2 linked regions of the Sus scrofa genome follow. The protein of the gene in region 2 purifies or fractionates together with the protein of the main gene of each other region. This does not show direct contact. Links are inferred from orthologs where the notes say so. Each region holds a gene or a part of one and is shown on either strand. Other genes may lie near its edges.

Region 1 (9,149 bases), on a different chromosome or scaffold from region 2:
ACCTTATGGAGACAATCGAAAGGAAAAATAGTTAAGTGGGGAATCAAGAGATCCTGGATTGTGTTTAAAATTGGGGAAATTTGAACTGCTATTTGATGATATTAAGGAATCAATGCTAGGTTTTTTAGATGCGATAATGTTTGGAAAAAAGGTATCATTTTAAAAGAAACCTAGTAAAATACCTACAGTTGAAATAATATATCATGTGGGATTTGTCTCCAAATAATCTGGGATAGCTGTGTGCACATCAAATAGTACACCGACTAGGAGCTAAGAACTGCTGAGGCTGGATGATGGGTATATGAAGGGTCATTTTACTATTCTCTTTAATTTCACATTTGTTTTAAATTTTCCATAAAAATTTGGAAAATGAGACCTTGAAGTAAACAAGACATTTACATTTTTACATGCTTGATTTTCCACACCCTATCAGAGTTACCCAAGATTCTGCTGCCTCTCCTGACTTTATACAAGAATCTTTATAAACACTCTTTTCAAACTCTGGTAATCTTGAATAATGACCTTTTAAAATAAGGTACTTTTGTCCTCTGACTTGATCTTTTCCCTTCCTCCATTCAGAACACTAATAAGCATTTTAATATCCAAAAACCTAGGTGTTCAGGAAGTTTCCATGTGGCACAGTGGGTTAAGGATCCAGTACTGGCCACAGTTATGGTACAGGTTGCAACAGCAGTATGGGTTTGATCCCTAGCCTGGAGACTTCCACACACCAGGTGTGGCCAAAAAAAAAAAAAAAGGTTCAGTGGCATAGACACAGTAAAACTTGCCTGGCTAGATAAGCAATCTAGAGTTTCAATGTCAAAAGTGTATATATCTAGCACTGTGGGGATTGCAGACCCTCACTCACCAAACCCGGTAGTTTATCAAAAAACCCCTTCCCCAGGCTCTCATATACTTTTCATAACTATCAATCGGTAGACACTATATGGAATATGGATTTTCAAGGCAAAAGATGAATATATACTATTACTTTAATTTGTTAGCTTTTATTATTAATTTTACTTAATATATATTTTTAAATTTTTTAATTAGCTGTTTTGATTTCTTCCATTTTCAATTTCTGCAAACCCATGCCCAGATAAATCACTGGGTGAAAACATAACGAAATTTATTTTATTTATTTTTTTGTCTTTTTAAGGCCGCATCCACGGCATATGGAGGTTCCCAGGCTAGGGGTCAAATGGGAGCTGTAGCTGCTGGCCTACACCACAGCCACAACAACACCAGATCTGAGCCATGTCTGCAACCTACACCATAGCTCAGGGCAACACCGGATCCTTAACCCATCGAGCAAGGCCAGGGATCAAACCTGCGTCCTCATGGATACTAGTCAGATTAGTTTCTGTTGAGCCACGGCGGAAATTCCTCTGTTAGTTTTAAACTTATACAAAAGTAGACAGAATAGTCTAATAAACCCTATATACTGAGCCAGCCTCAACAATCAATACACAGTAAATTTTGTTTCATCTACACCCATTTCCCCCACCACTGAATTCTAAAGCAAACTCCAGACTTTTCAGCTATACACACTTCAGTCATCTCTAAGAAACAAGTACTTCAAAAACAGCAATAAAAAATACTACTCTTTAAAAAAATTAACTTATTCAGTCCCCCTCTCTTACCCTTTCTTTGCCATTTGTCAGTTGTGACCTGGACTTCACATCTGCCTCAAAAGCCCCAAAGGCCCAGAGAGCCCTCAGAAATGGTTCAGGTCAAAGCTAGAGCCAGGGACTATTTTGCAGCACAGCTCGCATAGGCACAGGAGGGCTAGAGACAAATCGAGAGGCACCAATTCTGGAGATAATCATTTGCCCTTCGGCAAAAACCCAAGGATGCAAGACACGGTAAGTCACCACCAGATCAATCCAGGCTGGCTCCAGCCAGTGAGAAGTCTGAAGTTTGCTAGCCACTATGATAAAAGTAGCCTGCTAATTAAACTGACTCCAAGGAGGAAGTCAGACTCACACACCACACAACACTGACTACACCTGTAATCGCAACCCTGTCTGCTCATTAGAATCACCTGGGGAGCTTTGAAAACATACAAGGAAATCAGAATTCCCATTAACCCTATATGCCATACCTCGAACAAGTATAACAATTAGAAGGTTACAAGTCATCTTAAGTCCTCAATAATTAGTATACTGACACTCCTCACTATATAGTTCTGGGCATCTACAATGAGGAGCTCCAAACATCTTTTGAGAGCAATATGCCTTTTTTAAAAGCTTTCTTCCATGATGGCAAATGCTATATTTTGCTTCAAACTACTTCACAAAACCCAAGCAGTCAATGCTACCATTTCTCTAGCTGTGCTAATAGTTCTCATAGACTGAAAGGACCTACAATTTGGAAACTGTTAAAAAGTAGAAAATCCTTAAAAAAAAAAAAAAAAAAAAAAAAAGTCCTACCTAATTATCTTGATGTCTCTAAAACAAAATCTTTTGGGGGACGAGGTTATTTTCTTTGGGCATTAAGAGCTGATATTAAATCCAATTCATTCAACACTCACCTTATCAAAAAATAACGATTCCGTTCCTACACCATGCTTGCTGGCATCTGCCATAGAAGAATCCTTGAGACTGAGCAGTTTGGGTTTCTTCTGCAAAAAAAAGGAAGAATACAGGACAGACACATAAGATTCAAAGAAGTTTTCTGAGTTTCGTTTTCATCTCTGTTTGATAGTTCCATCACTAATCCGCCACTGATTAGTAATTTGCAACAAATAAGAGAATCCAAGTCACTAACTTGCCTTACATCCTGAAAGATTTCCACTCTTTTCTATTTCAGATTGCCGTCGGTTTTTTCCTAGAGGTTCACAGATCATTCTACTCCCCAAATACTCTCTATAAATGGTCACAGCACTACTATGATGTTAGAATTAATATCCTTACTTTTTCCATAGGCAAAAAAATTTAGAACCTAATGCCAATGCCTTGTCTTCTTAGCTGTGGAGGCAGAAAAGTTTTTAAAAAGAGCTGGAGTACATAGAAATCAATCTTTAACCTTCACCTTTTAATCAGTTTGAAAATTCACGAAAAAAGCAGTATATTTTCCTATTAGAAGGAATAATTACCTTGCTGGCAGAAGCCACTCAAACCAGAGTTAAGACTGCTCTTTCAAATCAAATGAATAGGCCATGATATAACTACCAAGCAAAAAATTTACTTTAAAAAAGCCACCTCTAAACTACATGTCAAGAAATGCACAAACTTTGGGAGAAGCTGCACATTAACCTCCGCCACCTTGGAGAACACTCTCTCGCAGGAGCCACAGCCTCTACTTATATTGCCTAAGGAGAAGGCAGATAGGGAATTCTAACCTCCCAATATAGTGTTTCCACCTGTGGGTCATCAAGTGTGGGAGGAGACCAAGATTGAAGCATGTCTCCTGACCTGTTCTTACTACTCATAAAACACTCCTTACTAAAGTGAGGAAATATAAACTACTGCTATGTTCAACTTGCTTCCAAAAGGAGAAACTATTAAAAACATTGAAAAATAGTTCTTCAAAGTGTCAGCAATCCATAACAGGTCAGTCTTTGCGGTCATTTGCTGGTTTATCAGTCCTTTTTTTTTTTTTGCTTCTTAGGGCCACACCTGAGGTACATGGAAATTCCCAGGCTAGGGGTGGAATCAGAGCTACAGCTGCTGGCTTGCGCCTCAGCAATTCACAATCTGAGCTGCGTCTGTGACCTACACCACAGCTCACAGCAATGTCAGATCCTTAACCCACTGAGCAAGACCAGGGACTGAACTCAATGATACCAGTCAGGTTCATAACCTGCTGAACTGCAACAAGAACTCCCTCGGTCATTTCTTACCGTAAGAAGTTACACTAGCTTTTATTCTTTAATTAAATTCTGCGGACACATCTATCTCTTCAATGCTATATGTTAGAATTCAACATTCAATACATACACCTAGTCTGCTCCCTAGCACAGGTGCCCCATATTAAAGAGAAAGGGAGTGGGCTCAGCTTTTTGCAGGCAGACCATCAGTATTGGCTGTAACAAGAAGCATCATGAGATAGGTCACTAAGAGGAGTTTAAGACCACCCTGTTACAGCCCAAAGTTCCTCCTTGGAGATTAAGATGATACAGGTAAGATGTGGCAACCCAAAAGAACCTTGAGCAGGATAGGTCTCTAAACCGAAGAAGAGATCCCACAAAGCATATGCACTTTACTCACAAAAGAACCTCAGAGACCACTGACTTATTTTGGGAACAATTATCGAACTTAATAATCTTACTTAGCACAAAGCAGGCTTAAGGCATCAAATCAAGAAGGGAAAAATTAAGTCTCAGAAACCCTTGGCAGAAACAAACAAAAAATAGATGAGAGTTAACCACAAAGAAGAGAGAAAACATACGGAAAACCATTAAGAACTCAAAAAAGCACAGTAATCTGAACAATTAGCAGTATTCTGGGAGTTCCCATTGTGGTACAATGATATCAAATCTGACTAGTCACCCCATGAGGATGCGGGTTCCATCCTTGGCCTTGCTCAGTGGGTTGGGGATCCAGCATTGCCGTGAGCTGTGGTGTATGTGGCAGACTGCAGCTTGGATCCCGCACTGCTAGTGTAGGCCAGCAGCTGTAACTCTGATTCTCAACCCCTAGCCTGGGAACTGGGAACTTTCATATGCCGTGGGTATGGACCTAAAAAAAAACAAAACAAAAGCAAAGCAGTATTCTAACATTCTTTCACAAGGCCAGGTAAAAAGTTTTGCATTGAGTTCTGAGACATAAACCAACTCTGAATATCAGGATCTAACTGTCAAACCTTGAGCACGTGCCCACTAGAATCGTTCCAGGAAGTCGAAATAAGCAGCTGCACCCACTCTCACCTTCACTGGAGGGGTGGCTCCTGTTCCAGAGTGTCTGCGGATCTGGCAGCCATTCTGGCTGGGCCTCTGTGGCTTGTTGTTTAGTTGAGGCTTCTTTACAGTGCCTCCATGGTCATTTCTCACGGAATCCACCTTCTCAGCAGTTGTTTTGCTTAAAAGCTAATTAAGACACATGAAAAAGATTAATGTTTTTATCAAAGCAAAAAAGTACCTTTCAGAAAAAGTCTCCTTCTGATTCCAGCTCCCTAACTTATCTGAGCTAACCATTCTCAATAGCGCAGTTCTAAATAAAACTTACCACGGAGCTGTTGGCATCTGGTAGGAACTGTCCAAATTCTGACAACAGATCTTCCTGATTTTTAAAAAGACGAGCCACCTGGGCATACACCTCCTGCTCAGTCAACGCTGGAGTGTAGTTTCCTCCAGCTTCCTTGGCATTTCGCTGCTCTTTCTAATAGGAAATTGTAAATGGGAAGAGATCATATTAGAGAGCCACTGTTTCTTTGTTTTTTGTTTTTGTTTTGTTTTTGTCTTTCTAGGGCTGCACCCAAGAGATATGGAAGTTCCCAGGCTAGGGGTTGAATTAGAGCTATAGCTGCTGGCCTACACTACAGCCACAGCAATGCCAGATCAGAGCTGCGTCTGCGACCTACACCACAACTCACGGCAATGCCGGATCCTTAACCCAGAGATCGAACCCTCGTCCTCATGGATACTAGTCAGGTTTGTTAATGGCTGAGCCATGACGGGAACCCCAAGGGCCACTGTTTTGAATGACTCACTTTTGCACACTTTCTGAGATGTCTGACAGGAGCTCTGTATTTTACCGACTTTTGGGCTGTACTTAAGAGGAAAGAAAGACTATGTTTTAGCACCTGTTCTAGCCTCTAGTTTTTAAGTTGAGAAATAAGTGGAAGATGGCGGCTGAGACTTAATTCCTTTTAAAACTAGGGCAGTGGGGGTTCCTGTTGTGGCTCAGAAGGTTACAAACCCAACTAGTATCCATGAGGATGAAGCTTTGATACCTGGTCTCATTCAGTGGGTTAAGGATCCCGCACTGGTTGCTGTGAGCTATGGTGCAGGTTGAAGATACAGCTTGGATCCTACATTGCTATGGCTGTGGCAGCTGCAGCTCCGATTCGACCCCTAGCTTGGAAACTTCCATATGCTGTGGGTACAGCCCTAAAAAGCAATAAATAAATAAATAAATAAAACCAGAGCAGTATATGTGAATGTTCAAGACAGACCACTCCCGAATGATAAAACACAAAATACTAGAGAAATTTCTTTTTATTCTACTGTAAATTAACTATACCACCCAAATCATCATTTAAACTTTCCAGATAAATAAGCATCCATCTCACAGAGCAGTGACTTTGAAAACTGTGACTGGCTGCTAAAATTCAATTAAAATTGAAGTCAGGCAAATCAAACTAGCTTTATGAATGCAATTTCTAACAGGTTAATTTCCAGTAAGAATTCGTGGCCACAATAATGGTTATTTACATTCTTCTCTGAATAGATGTCCACAGAGGACAACCTGGTTAAGACAGGGTGAAAAGGCAACAGTCTTACCTGATATGTGTGCAAAATCTCCAGGAATGCTTTGTAGATGTCTGGTTGGCCCTGGAACCTGTTCTTGATCTTATTGACATAGTTGATGGCATGGTTAAACTCCACAGGCTGATTGTTCTGCAAGGGCGGGGCTGTTCCCAACGAGATTGTCACTGGTGTATGAGGCTGGACAGGTGGAGAACGTGGGGATGCGTATGGTGGGAGAGGGGGAGTCTGCTGACTGGCTGGAGTATGTGCTTGTAGTTGGGAAGGCTAAAAAGAAAAAAGTCTTTATTCTCCTCAGGAACACAGATGGTTTACCACAGGAAAGAAAGTTCAAACTAAAGAGAAATAAAGTGTCCGATCGACTTACATACTTTACTCACTCTGGCCAGGCCATTTTAGCCCAATTCAAATCACAAAGGGCAAGGTTGGAAGTGTAGAGGATTCATACATTGTAATACAAAAATTCAGTCTCAAATGTTCTAAATACAACCTTAAAAGTAGGCTATATCTCCAATTATAGGGAAGAATTTTTCATATGCAATATTTAGCTCACTTGCTCAATAGGTACACATAGAATAGGGAAAGAAACCTCATTCTACATAGATCTTTAATGTCCAGAAGACAATTCAACTATTGCAATAAATTCATATTTAAAAAAAAGTCTTCTCAACCAGCTCTGCCCAACAGAGTTCTCTATATTGCATGACATCCAAATGAGGCTACTGAGCACTTTAAATTTAGCTAGTGAAATTGAAAAGCTGCATTTCTTTTAAGTAAAACACTCCATCATCACCATCACCACCACTATTATCAAGATCTTCCGTTTAGCTTGCTATAACCTAACCTGGTAAATGACGTAAATCTTGTAAAATCATGACCACAGAGACAACTGATCATAAGATGACCGTTTCTGCCTGTGCTATTCAAATACTACCACACAAAGTTGCCATCTGTTGGCATGCTCATGGATTCAAAAAGCCGAAGTTGGGGGCAAAAAGAGTCCTTGCAGGTTGTTGAGGTGTTGATTTAAACAGATATATAAATAATTATGTGTTATGTGAACATGTGCCACATTATAGGGATGTGACTACCGCATCTTCACCGATAAAATTTTAACTTGAATATCTAAGTCTTATACAAGTGGAAAATGCCAAAGGAGGGTGCTTTCTAGGGATGTATGTTACACGGTGCAAAGTTTTCCAAGTGCTCACCTTGCTGACTTTGGCAGGTGGGGGCTGAGGAGCTGGCTGGGCAGGAGCTGGAGCAGACTGGGCTGAAGGCTGGGAAGGATGCTGGGGTGGTGGTTGAGGCTGGGGCTGGATGCCATGGGTGGGGATCTGATGAACCTGGCCAGGAGTTGTCACATTCACCATGTCATTGGTTTGCACCTCAATCTTGTAGCCAGGGGGCAAGAAGGTATTGAAGCCCATGATCAGGTCAGGGTGGCCTTTGAACAGCTGGGACACACGACTAATCACTCCTGGAGTGTCAATGCTGATTAAAAAAAAAAAAAAAAAAACAAACATATATATAAATATAAATATATATATGTGTATATATATATATAAACACACACACACACACACACACACACACACACATTAAAGTGGCAAGCTTGACAAACACTCTACCAAGAAAAAAATTCACATTCCACTAGATTCTCTACCATGCAGGAAAATAAAAAATCAACATGAATATTACAAAAGTAATGACACACAAAAACTCTGAAATTCCAAAGTCATTTAGCTTCATATTCAAAGAGGCTTGGTCACGATTCTAAACAGAATATACATTCATGTATGGTAACAGTCCTATCAAGCAGATACTCAGAAAATAAGTCTAAAACTGTAATCCCCACACACCAGAATAAATCATGTATCCACACTGTTCAGATGAATTACTCTTTTATAACAGTGAACCATGCCAGACTATTAGTGTAAGTTAAATCAGTCCAAAAAGCAAGTAGCCAAGTCATTACTAGTTTACTTCCCTGAGATGAAGTACTAGGAAAAATTTTATGCAGAAAACAAAGGTTCAGAGTATTCAATTTTCATAAATAAAGCAACACACAAAATAAAAGCATGACCCTGGAAATGAAGCCCCCCGCAAAACAGCATCCTTTATCTTTCAGCAGATGAGAATAAGCTATATCCTCCTTCCAAAATTAGCATAACAAACACAAAGCTTGAGTACAACCATATATCCATATTTTTACCTCTGAGATTTAAATTCCTTCATGATGTCAAGGAAATCATTGTAGACCTGAGGCTGACTACCAAACTGTAGCTTCACTTGGTCAAGATAGGACAGTGCATCCTCCACCTGAGGCAGGGATAAATCTCAAGGTTATAAAAAAAAAGCCAGCCAGGAATTAGTTTCTAAAAAATGATTTATGCCTAAAAAAAGTAGCATAGTAAGTAAAATTGAAATATAGAGTAAATACACATAACAAAATTTAGAGGGACTTTAAAAAATTATTTACAAAAAAAAGAAAAAGAAGTTCATTTAGTTATTTTAATGTTTCCTATTGAAGTTTAACATGCATACAAGAAAGTAAACACATCGTTAGTGTACAACCCCATGAATTTTCACAAAGTAAACATACTCATGAAACCAGAACCCAGATCATAAAACGGAACATCCTAGAAAGCACTGTGGCACCCTTTCCCAGTTGCTGCCTCGCCACAAGGATAATTTTACTGATTTCTAAAACCATAGA
Region 2 (9,149 bases):
GCCCCTAAGTCAACCAGTCCTGAATCTAAAAAAATCTCAGATCTAAAAGACCTGATTATGAAGTTGTAAAAATTTTTTTTGGCTGAGTAATGTGTCAACTTTACTAAAAGAAGGATTATTATAGAAATGCTGCTAAACATGGAAAAGAAGGTTGTAAAATCATCTATTTAGGAATTGGTGATCTGAGCACCAATGATATAAATATGTTTATAAAAAAGAGTATAAAAATTAGTACCCTGTCTCATTTCTACAAAACATGAATAGAAAGGTTGTACAAATCCACATTTTGTAAAATTTATTGCCAGAAGGTTTGCGTGAATGCTGGTGACTCAGACCATGGCATTTTCCTCCACTGCCTTAAAAGAAACTCCGAAACTACAAGACACATGGAACAGGGCCCCAACCAAAAAGAGACAGGTTACCGCGCTCTCATCAGAACCAGCTCCCCACTTTCTCCCAGCCCTCAAGCCAATTTTTTTCTTTTTTTTGGAGGGAAAACCATCCGCTCCAGTCCTGAAAGAGGCTTTTACAGACCCCCTCCGCGGGCCCCAGCGCGCCCGTCAGGCCGAGGCCGGCCTGCACAGCAGCGGGCTCCCCGGGGGCTCGGCCGAGGCCATTCTGCTCAGCTTGCCCACCTCCGCCTGCCAGCTGGGGACCCTGCGGGTGCTCCCGTGGCGCCGGGCGTGCTTGGTCAGGTGGTCGCTGCGCATGAACCGCCGCTCGCACACGGGGCACACGAACTTCTTCTCCCCAGTGTGAGTTCTGCGGTGGCGAGAGAGTTCATCTGAACGAGCGAATTTCTTGTCGCAGCCATCCCAGCTGCAGCTGAAAGGCTTCTCTCCTAAGAGGGGAGAGAAGGCACAGGAAGTCAATGCTCAGCACCTCGCTGAGTAGGCCAATTCGTGTCGTTTTAAAACCTGGTTCACCGAAACCCAAGAAGCAAGGAGTAGCCTACTGTTCTGGCATCAGATTGTCTGGAAGTCAAGGAATCCCCCAAGACTCTGTCTCCCTGCCACACCCGAGACTGGATGCGGCAGGGGCCAAAGCCCTCAAACTCATCCTTCTAAAGACATTTTTAAATGAAAATAAATCTTTGACAGTTAGCTTGGAATAGGAGAAAGACTCTTGAAAGGAATAATTTCCTTCCCTCTCAGAAGTTGCACATCTACAAGAGTCCCTCCCAGGACCTTCAGACGCCTCAGAATCCATCCCCCTCACATTCGCACTACCTTGACAAAGAGGCTAATTACCAAACAGGGTGGAATTTGAACAGCTACCTTCCTATCTCTCGTTCCAAGCTTCAGGCATCATCATTCCAAGTTCCAGAGTACTGGGCAGGGGTCCCTACCACGTCCACCTGGCGGTACGGCGATGAGCCAGGGAGCCCTTCTCCGGGCTCCTCCTGGGCCTCTCCAGCCAGTAGGAGTGCTCCCTTTCCTGCATCCTGAAGCCCTTAACTGGGCCAGGTTGTGACAATCACATACGGCTTGTGCATGAATGGATTTGCCAAATGCTCTTCTGTGTCATGTGACCTACCCTCCCAAAGGCTGAGGACTTGCTAGTTCATCCTTCTCTGCACAGTTCAGCCCCTGGCACAGCACTCTGTCTGACAGGCAGTGAATGAGTGTGGAAAAGACATCAACTAAATATGCAACGTTTTTCAAAACTGAATTAACAGGAAAATTCAGCCTCGCAACGCTTATGCACCATTTTAAGAAACAAGGGCCCGAACTTCACAGATTTCAAAGACCCCACGTTCTAAGTGTAAGGTTACCTGTGAGGTTACCTGTTTCCAGGAAACTACCACCTCTGCTGGCAGCATACCAGATGGCCAGATGTTGGACAGAAAACAACCCTTTGGCATGGGATTTATAAAGTGTCCTATGTTTTCGTTCTTTTTTTTCTTTGTTAGGGCTGCGCCTATGGCATATGGAGGTTCCCAGCTGTAGGTCGAACCAGAGCTGCAGCTACCAGCCTATGCCACAGCCATGCCAGATCCAAGCCGCATCTATGACCTACCCCACAGCTCGCAGCAACACCTGATCCTTAACCCACTGAGCGAGGCCAGGGATGGAACCCGCAAGCTCATGGTTACGAGTTGGGTTCATAACCCACTGAGCCACAATGGGAACTCCCTAAAGTGTCCTATGTTTCCAACACACCAAAAACGTTGCCCTTCCTTACTCTACCTTATCCTCTCTCTCTTCTTTGGGCCAAGTCCAAGGCATGCGGAAGTTCCGGGGCCAAGGATCAAACCTGCGCCATAGCAGTGACAACGCCGTATCCTTAATCCTGAGAATTCCTCACTCTACCTTACCCTAATTAAAAAAAATCTCAGGAGTTCCCATCGTGGCTCAGCAAAAATGAATCTGACTAGGATCCATGAGGACGCAGGTTCGTTCCATCCCTGGCCTCGCTCAGTGGGTTAAGGATCCAGTGTTGCCATGAGTTGTCGCATAGGTTGCAGACACGTCTCAGATCCGGAGTTGTTGTGGCTGTGGTGTAGGCTGGAGGCTGCAGCTTCGATTCAACCTCTAGCCTGAGAACGTCCATATGCCGAGGGGGCAGCCCTAAAAAGCAAGAAAAAAAGAGAAAGTTCAGATTGGCAGAGGAAGAACTCTCATCTAAGGTAAACTTATCTAACATTTCTATTTCTTAGGAAAACTCCAATTTCGTGTTTACAAAAAATAGCACAAGAAGTTGATTCTTGGAGTTCCTGTTGTGGCACAGCAGAAACGAATCCGACTAGGAACCATGAGGCTGTGGGTTCGATCCCTGGCCTCGCTCAGTGGGTTAAGGATTCGGCGTTGCTGCGGCTCTGGCATAGGCCACCGGCTACAGCTTCGACCCCTAGCCTGGGAACCTCCATATGCCTCAGGTTCAGCCCTAAAAGGACAAAAGACAAAAAAAAAAAAAAGAAGTTGATTCTTCAGCTCACTCATGGTTACTTTAAGTACTTCGGGAAATGTGAAGCGAGCTTGTCTGATCATCTTATTTTATGCCATCACATCAGTATTTCTACCACGGAAAGCTGGCTGAATAAACCTCATGCCACTGCTTCCTCACATGTGGTGGCATCGGTGTTTAGGCGGGACCTGAGGCTCGCTCAGTGGAAACCTAGCCTGCCGGGTCCACGAGCCCGAGCGCCCGCTGAAGCGGATATAGCCCCGACGGCCCCCGTGGCACCGAGGCCCAGGATCGTGTACTGGTGTCAGTCTCTTACGCCAGACACTGAGAGTGGGCATCCAGTGAGAGCACACGAGTAGCTAAGTCACAAATCAAAAATCAAAAAGAGAAGGCCGGGGGGGGGGGGTGGAGCTGAAGGCGTCAGGGAGCAGGGACAGGCGGAGGGCGGGGATGAAGGACAATCGGGAGAGAAAAGGTTAAGGCGGAGAGGCAAGCTTGGCACCGGCCAGGCTCGGGCCTTACCCCTGAAGCGAAGAGCCCGCCCCGCCGTGTGGAAGCAGCAGAGCTCCTTTCAAAGGCCTGTGTTCCAGGCTCCGCTTCATTCTGCAAGCAGGAGCTGCCGCGATTCGCGTCCTGACATGGTAATTAGAAAGCACTCCAGCTCAAATGCATTTTGGGGTGAAGTACCCTAAAAACTGCCAACAGCTCATCCTCTCTGCAGCTACGTTCCACAGTTCACTGCTGGCGCACAGGCCACGAGCAGACACTCTGGTGGAGGGGGTTCCACGATCAAGAGTTAATGAAACACAGCTTTACTGCAGACCATGCAACCTGTTTCTGTGCTTATATGTACGTGCCTGTGTGAACCTTTGAAAGGTGAGTTTCGCAGACCGCAGGACCCTTGAAAACAAAACAACGGACACTAAGCGGAACACCTGAGACCTCTGGCCTAATCAACTACCTACCGTGGAGTTCCTGTAGTGCTGAGTGGTAATGAACCCAACTAGAATCCATGCGGATGCGATCTGATCCTTAGCCTTGCTCAGTGAGTTAAAGATCCAGCGTTGCCATGAGCGGTGGTGTAGGTCACAGACATGGCTCGGATCCTGCGTTGCTGTGGCTGTGGCGCAGGCCGGCAGCTGCAGCTCTGATTCGACCCCTAGCCTGGGAACCTCCATATGCTGCAGGTGGAGTCCAAAAAAGCGAAAAAACAAACAAACAAACAAAAAAACCAAGACAAGATAAAACAAAAAACTACCTACCAGGCAACTTCACCCTTCTGTTACACAGTAGGGTAGCTACAAGTAACTACATAAACACAAACTTAATGAGAATGTGCAACTCAGTCCCTCTGCCACACTGTTCCCATTTCAAGTCCAAGTGGCCAGTGGCTGCTCCCCTAACCAACAGAGGACATTTCCGTCCCTGCAGAAAATTCTATTGGATGAAGCTGATGGGACACTAGAGAGACTAAGTCATTACAGTTTCTCTTGCGACTTCTTCCAAATTAAAAACTACATATTTCCCAAAGCAAAAAAACGACATGCCCTTAAAGTGCAAATAGCCTAGAATTCAATTTTTCCCATAGATTGTAAAGCTCTTTCCCCAGAAAAAACTGCAATCACGCTAATAAAACACGTGTTGAGCACAAATGCCTATTTTCTAAAATGAAAGGAAGAATGAGATGCCGACTGACTGCAACGTGAAGAAAAGGGGCAACGTGAGCCTCGCTCCCCCAGCCTGTCGACCTGAGGATCACAATCCTAAGACTGCACTGCGCCGCATCTACCGGGATGAGCAGACAGCAAGTTCTAGAAAACCACCGATGGCTCTGCTAATGTCAACCCCGAGGCTATGAAGACTTTTCAGAACCAAAGAAACAGGGCCACCTTCTCCATGGTTCTCATGCTTCACTCTCACCCTGCGGAGGCTCAGTGTGTCCCGGACGTGGGATCTGACCTTCCTCCCGACGCCCCACCTGCCTCAGTGCTCACCTGTGTGAGTGCGAAGGTGGGCCTTGAGATGGGAGCTTTTGAAGTAGGTCTTCCGGCAGCCCGGGAAGCTGCACACATAGTTCCTCCTGCGGGAAAAGTCGACCTGAGGGGCGCAGCTCTGACTGGATGCGATGAACACGGGCGCAGGGGCGAGCGGCAAGAACCTGGCACTCGCCACGGCCAGGGCGCTCGATGAGCACGTGGCGGGCTGGGCCAGGGCCCCCTGGGGCAGAACCAACATCACAGCCCCCGGAGGCATGGACGGTCCCACGAACACAGGCTGGGGGACTGGAGCAGCATGGGGCAAGATGGGTTTGGCAGTCCCTGTAGACACTGGGAGAGGAGGCTTCAGCAAAGCGGCTAACACGCCACTTTGTCCAGTCACAGGGAGCATCTGGCAAAGGACAGGGGGACTAGCCGTAGGGACAGAAATCAGAGGGGTGGCTTTCCTTGGCAAGTCACTGTCATGATTCTTTGGTGAGCAGATCGGAACCGCAACAGGCCACCCTGCCTGCGGGCTCTTGTCGTCGGTGGAGGTCAGGCCGCCAGACTTGTGTGAGCAAGGCTGGCAGGACACCGCGTTAACGGTGAGCAAACTGTCTGTGAGGCGTGTGTCCGGCAAAGCTTCGGTGTGTTCCAGACACCGGGCTTCCGCTTCTCTGTTGGCTGAAAGGTGGTGCTCTTGAGCCTGAGTGGTAGGAGTGTGGGCAGGAGTCCCCCCGGTGTAGCAAATGACACTTGTCACCATGGCCCTGCAGGGAGGGGGGGCTCCCCCACGAGAGGCTGAGGGGCCAGCCATGACCATGGGGGCTTTGGAATCAGTTACTTGGGAAGGACCAAGTGTCCCTGTTGATGGCTCCGTGAGGTCAGGGCTCTGAGGAGGAGTCATGCACTTAAAAAAAAAAAAAAAAAGTGCTGTGTGAAAAGGTTATTTTGGTTAAATTTTAAGGAACTTACTTTGATCATGTTGCCCCCGAAGTCTTTACAAAGAAGTATCTAGAAAAGATTGGTCAAAGTCTGCTCCCAATCGCACCCAATGGATGTACAGCCTGCTGGAGGCACCTAACTTTCCTGCCTTCTCCCGCTTTCCCGACCTCTGCCAACCCATCCATCTGCTCCACTGTGAGGACGCCGGTGCTGTTCCTGGGCTCGCACAGCTACTGAAGTGAACAATTTAAGTATCAGGACTACAAATGAAGAATCAAACTTACAGTCAAAATGAGAACTTTATACAGAATCTCAAAAAATAGTATCAGAATCTCAAAGTTTTTAAAAAAGTCTCAGTGATAATCATTTAACACCCTTATCCAATCGATCACACACCTACCCCATCAAACACACACTCATCCAATCACACACCTATCCAACCAATTGATCACACCCCATCCAATCCGTCACACACTCATTCAATGCCTACTAGATACAAAATAAAACCTAGGAGAACGATCCCCCAAAGGCCATGCTTTAACCAGGGGTTTGGCCTAAACCAAGACTCTCTTTGTACCACTTCTCCCTACAAACAGCTCCCACTTATTTTCAACCCAATGCCAAGTAACTCTGAGAGGTGCCCCCCCCCGCAGCCAGGCCCACTCCTTGTACAATCCTCTCTGCTGCCACAAGTGCCTTCCCACCCCACAAGTCAGTGTTCTGCCCCATCCTTCCAGTGCAAGATACCAGCCCAGAACAGCCAGATCAAAAATTTCCGTTTTGTTGGCAACTGACAGCTTTCAACTTCTCCAAGTGGAGAGGCAGTGCTTCCCAGTAACTTTGCTGCCGTTTGCGGTAACAACAAAACAAAAACAAAAGCCAGTGTCTGACGGCACCCAACTCACACAAGAAAGAAATTGGCTCCCATAAGGGAGGCAGAGACCCAGGATTTCACCCCAGCTAATGAAGGCTGCCTGGTGCAAAGTAGAGGCTTTCCCCTGCTGCCACCCACAGATCCTGCTCCTGGACTGGAGCCCTCAACCTACGGGTTTCCCAGGAAAATGACTACATTTTGCTCTTCCACATCAATCTATAGTTTCACCCTATGGACATTTACACCCTGTGGCTACAAGCTATGCTCTATTAATGGAAAGCATATTTTCAAGAGATAAAAGCAGCTTTCACCCTTAAGACCCACATAGAGGGGGGTATGAACTTGCTTGCCAGCATCCTGGTGAATCTACCCAGCAGCTCTTTAGCACATTTACCAAAGATACTCTAGACCAGGCGCAAACCGCCCCCTCCCCCACCTCTTACCAGAGTTGATAAAGAATGGAAGTCCTTTGGTAGCTCAGGTGCAGGTGAGTCCATCGGCACAGTGGTGGTGATATCGCCAGAGTCAGAGACAGGTGTGAGCGGTCTTATCTTCAACAGGTCCCCTTTTTGGGATCTCTGACCCCAGGAGCTCATGCAAACCAGCACCTCAACAGCTTCAATGTCATTCTGCTCCAAGATGCTGCACGTAGACCTCTCACTGTCATGCCGCTTCCTCTCCAGGATGGACTCACATATGTCCATGATGTCAACCTAAAGGCGACACAACACTATGGCTTTTCAGTCCCGGAAGCACAAAAAGGGTCACGCACAGCCCCCACGGTAAGGAGGAAGAAGGCATGCACACCAGGAACCTGCCCCGCGCCCACTCCACACCCACCCCAAGCCCGCAGCACCGCATGCGCTCTGGGGGGTGGGGAAGCAGCCAGCAGAGCTCGGAGGACCACTTGGCTCCAAAGCCAGTGTTTCGCCGAGGGAGGGAGGAGGAATGGACTGGGCCGGTCAGCAGCTTCCCCAGAACACCCTGACTCTTAGCAACGGTTGCTAAGCTCTTGCTTTTCTTTGGGAAATGATTAATAACACTCCTTTCCAGAGGTGAGAACCCAATGGCTAATGTCAAACTTTCCCGGGGGGGAGGAGGAGGAAGGACACCGATGGCTCAGGTTGGCTGAGATGAGTCGGCAAAACCACCCGAGCGTCCCCACAGATGCATTTGCGACAACCCTGGAGCATCCACACCCGTCAGGGAATCACTCAGCTGAGTCCCGCGCGGGAGAGCAACGCGCGGTTCAGCCCTGGTCCCCACCCCCGGGAGCGCCTGGGTCGGTCCTCGCGGACTAGCGCTGGGAGAGGAAGAACGGCTAAGATTTGCCACAAGCCGGCGAGGGCTTCCCAGCGCAGCTCCTCCTCTGAAGCGGGAGCAGAGCAGGAACCGACTGGAGGCAACCCATCTCTTCCCCGAGAACCTTTCCATCTACGAAGATAACACTCTTCCACTCAGCTTGCCTAAACCCCAACCTGTCCCGCCCAGGGGCCCCCCGCGGCACACAGGTGACGCCGCCGCCCTTACAGATGTCACTCTGGCCGAGTCCCCGGAAAGAACTGTGAAGTCACAGAAGTGGAAATGGTTAATAAGACCTGCTAGGCCTGCTAGGGGAGGGACGGGGTGACGCGGGGCTCCCAGACCCTTCTCTCGGCCCCTCGGCAGTCCCCGTGGCTCGACGACTCGGTACCAGGTTCAGCCAGCGCCCTCCAGCACGGACAGGAGCGGCCCAGGGGTTGAGGCTGCCCGCCCGGCGCGTGCAGCCTTCCCGCCAGCCTTGGCCCCGCCCCGCTTTCCCGCCAGCCTTGGCCCCGCCCCCGCCCTCGACCCCGCCCCCCGCGCCGAGTTCCCACAGCCCCTGCCTCTCCGCCGGCGCCCCGCCCCCCGCGGCCCGCAAGCCGAGTTCCCGCCAGCCGCGCCCCGCCCAACGGCCACCTCCTCACAGGGCCTGATGACGTCATGGCTGCAAATAGCCCCGCACCTGGGGCTGCCTGGGTGGGGCCGCTGCGGGAGCGCTAGACAAAAAGCTGCGCGTGGGGCGGTGCGAAGCACATCCCCCTCCCCGCCCCTCCCGGCGCGACCTCGCGCGGCCGCCGCCCCTTCAGGCGGCCGAACCCGCCCGGGCTCTCAAGGGTGTGGGTGCGGCGAGACCGTGTGCCCCCACCCTCCTCCGCACCCTGTGTCCGCACACGCAGCGCAGCCCCGTCTCGCCCCTCTCTCCGATGGGCGACCACTCACCGCGTGTGCGTCGCCCGGGCCCGCAGAGCCCGGCGTGAGCATGGTGCCGGCGGCCCGGAGGCAACAAAGCAGCCGCAGGGCGGGAGCTCGGCGCACGACAGCTGCCGCACGTGCGTGGCGGGCGGCGGCGAGCCGGAGATCCAGCGGCCGGCGCGCGCCTCCGCCCGCCCGCGCCACTCTGCCTCGGCGCGGCCCTCGCGGCGTGG

Evidence for each region.
Region 1: the proteins of KLF11 (region 2) and SIN3A purify together in Homo sapiens (affinity purification with western blotting, with the first as the bait; 3 studies listed by BioGRID). This does not show direct contact. The link is inferred for Sus scrofa from reciprocal best matches to the Homo sapiens genes KLF11 and SIN3A.

The regions. Positions count from the first base shown.
Region 1 is NC_010449.5:58,206,109-58,215,257, reverse strand, and holds part of SIN3A (paired amphipathic helix protein Sin3a), read right to left. Parts: intron 8,753-9,149; coding exon 8,646-8,752; intron 7,925-8,645; coding exon 7,642-7,924; intron 6,698-7,641; coding exon 6,446-6,697; intron 5,322-6,445; coding exon 5,169-5,321; intron 5,030-5,168; coding exon 4,871-5,029; intron 2,624-4,870; coding exon 2,534-2,623; intron 3-2,533; coding exon 1-2. UniProt on the Homo sapiens protein: Acts as a transcriptional repressor. Corepressor for REST. Interacts with MXI1 to repress MYC responsive genes and antagonize MYC oncogenic activities. Also interacts with MXD1-MAX heterodimers to repress transcription by tethering SIN3A to DNA.
Region 2 is NC_010445.4:126,420,751-126,429,899, forward strand, and holds the start of KLF11 (Krueppel-like factor 11), read right to left. Parts: upstream 9,141-9,149; 5' UTR 8,986-9,140; coding exon 8,944-8,985; intron 7,416-8,943; coding exon 7,146-7,415; intron 5,794-7,145; coding exon 4,902-5,793; intron 842-4,901; coding exon 561-841; 3' UTR 1-560. UniProt on the Homo sapiens protein: Transcription factor. Activates the epsilon- and gamma-globin gene promoters and, to a much lower degree, the beta-globin gene and represses promoters containing SP1-like binding inhibiting cell growth.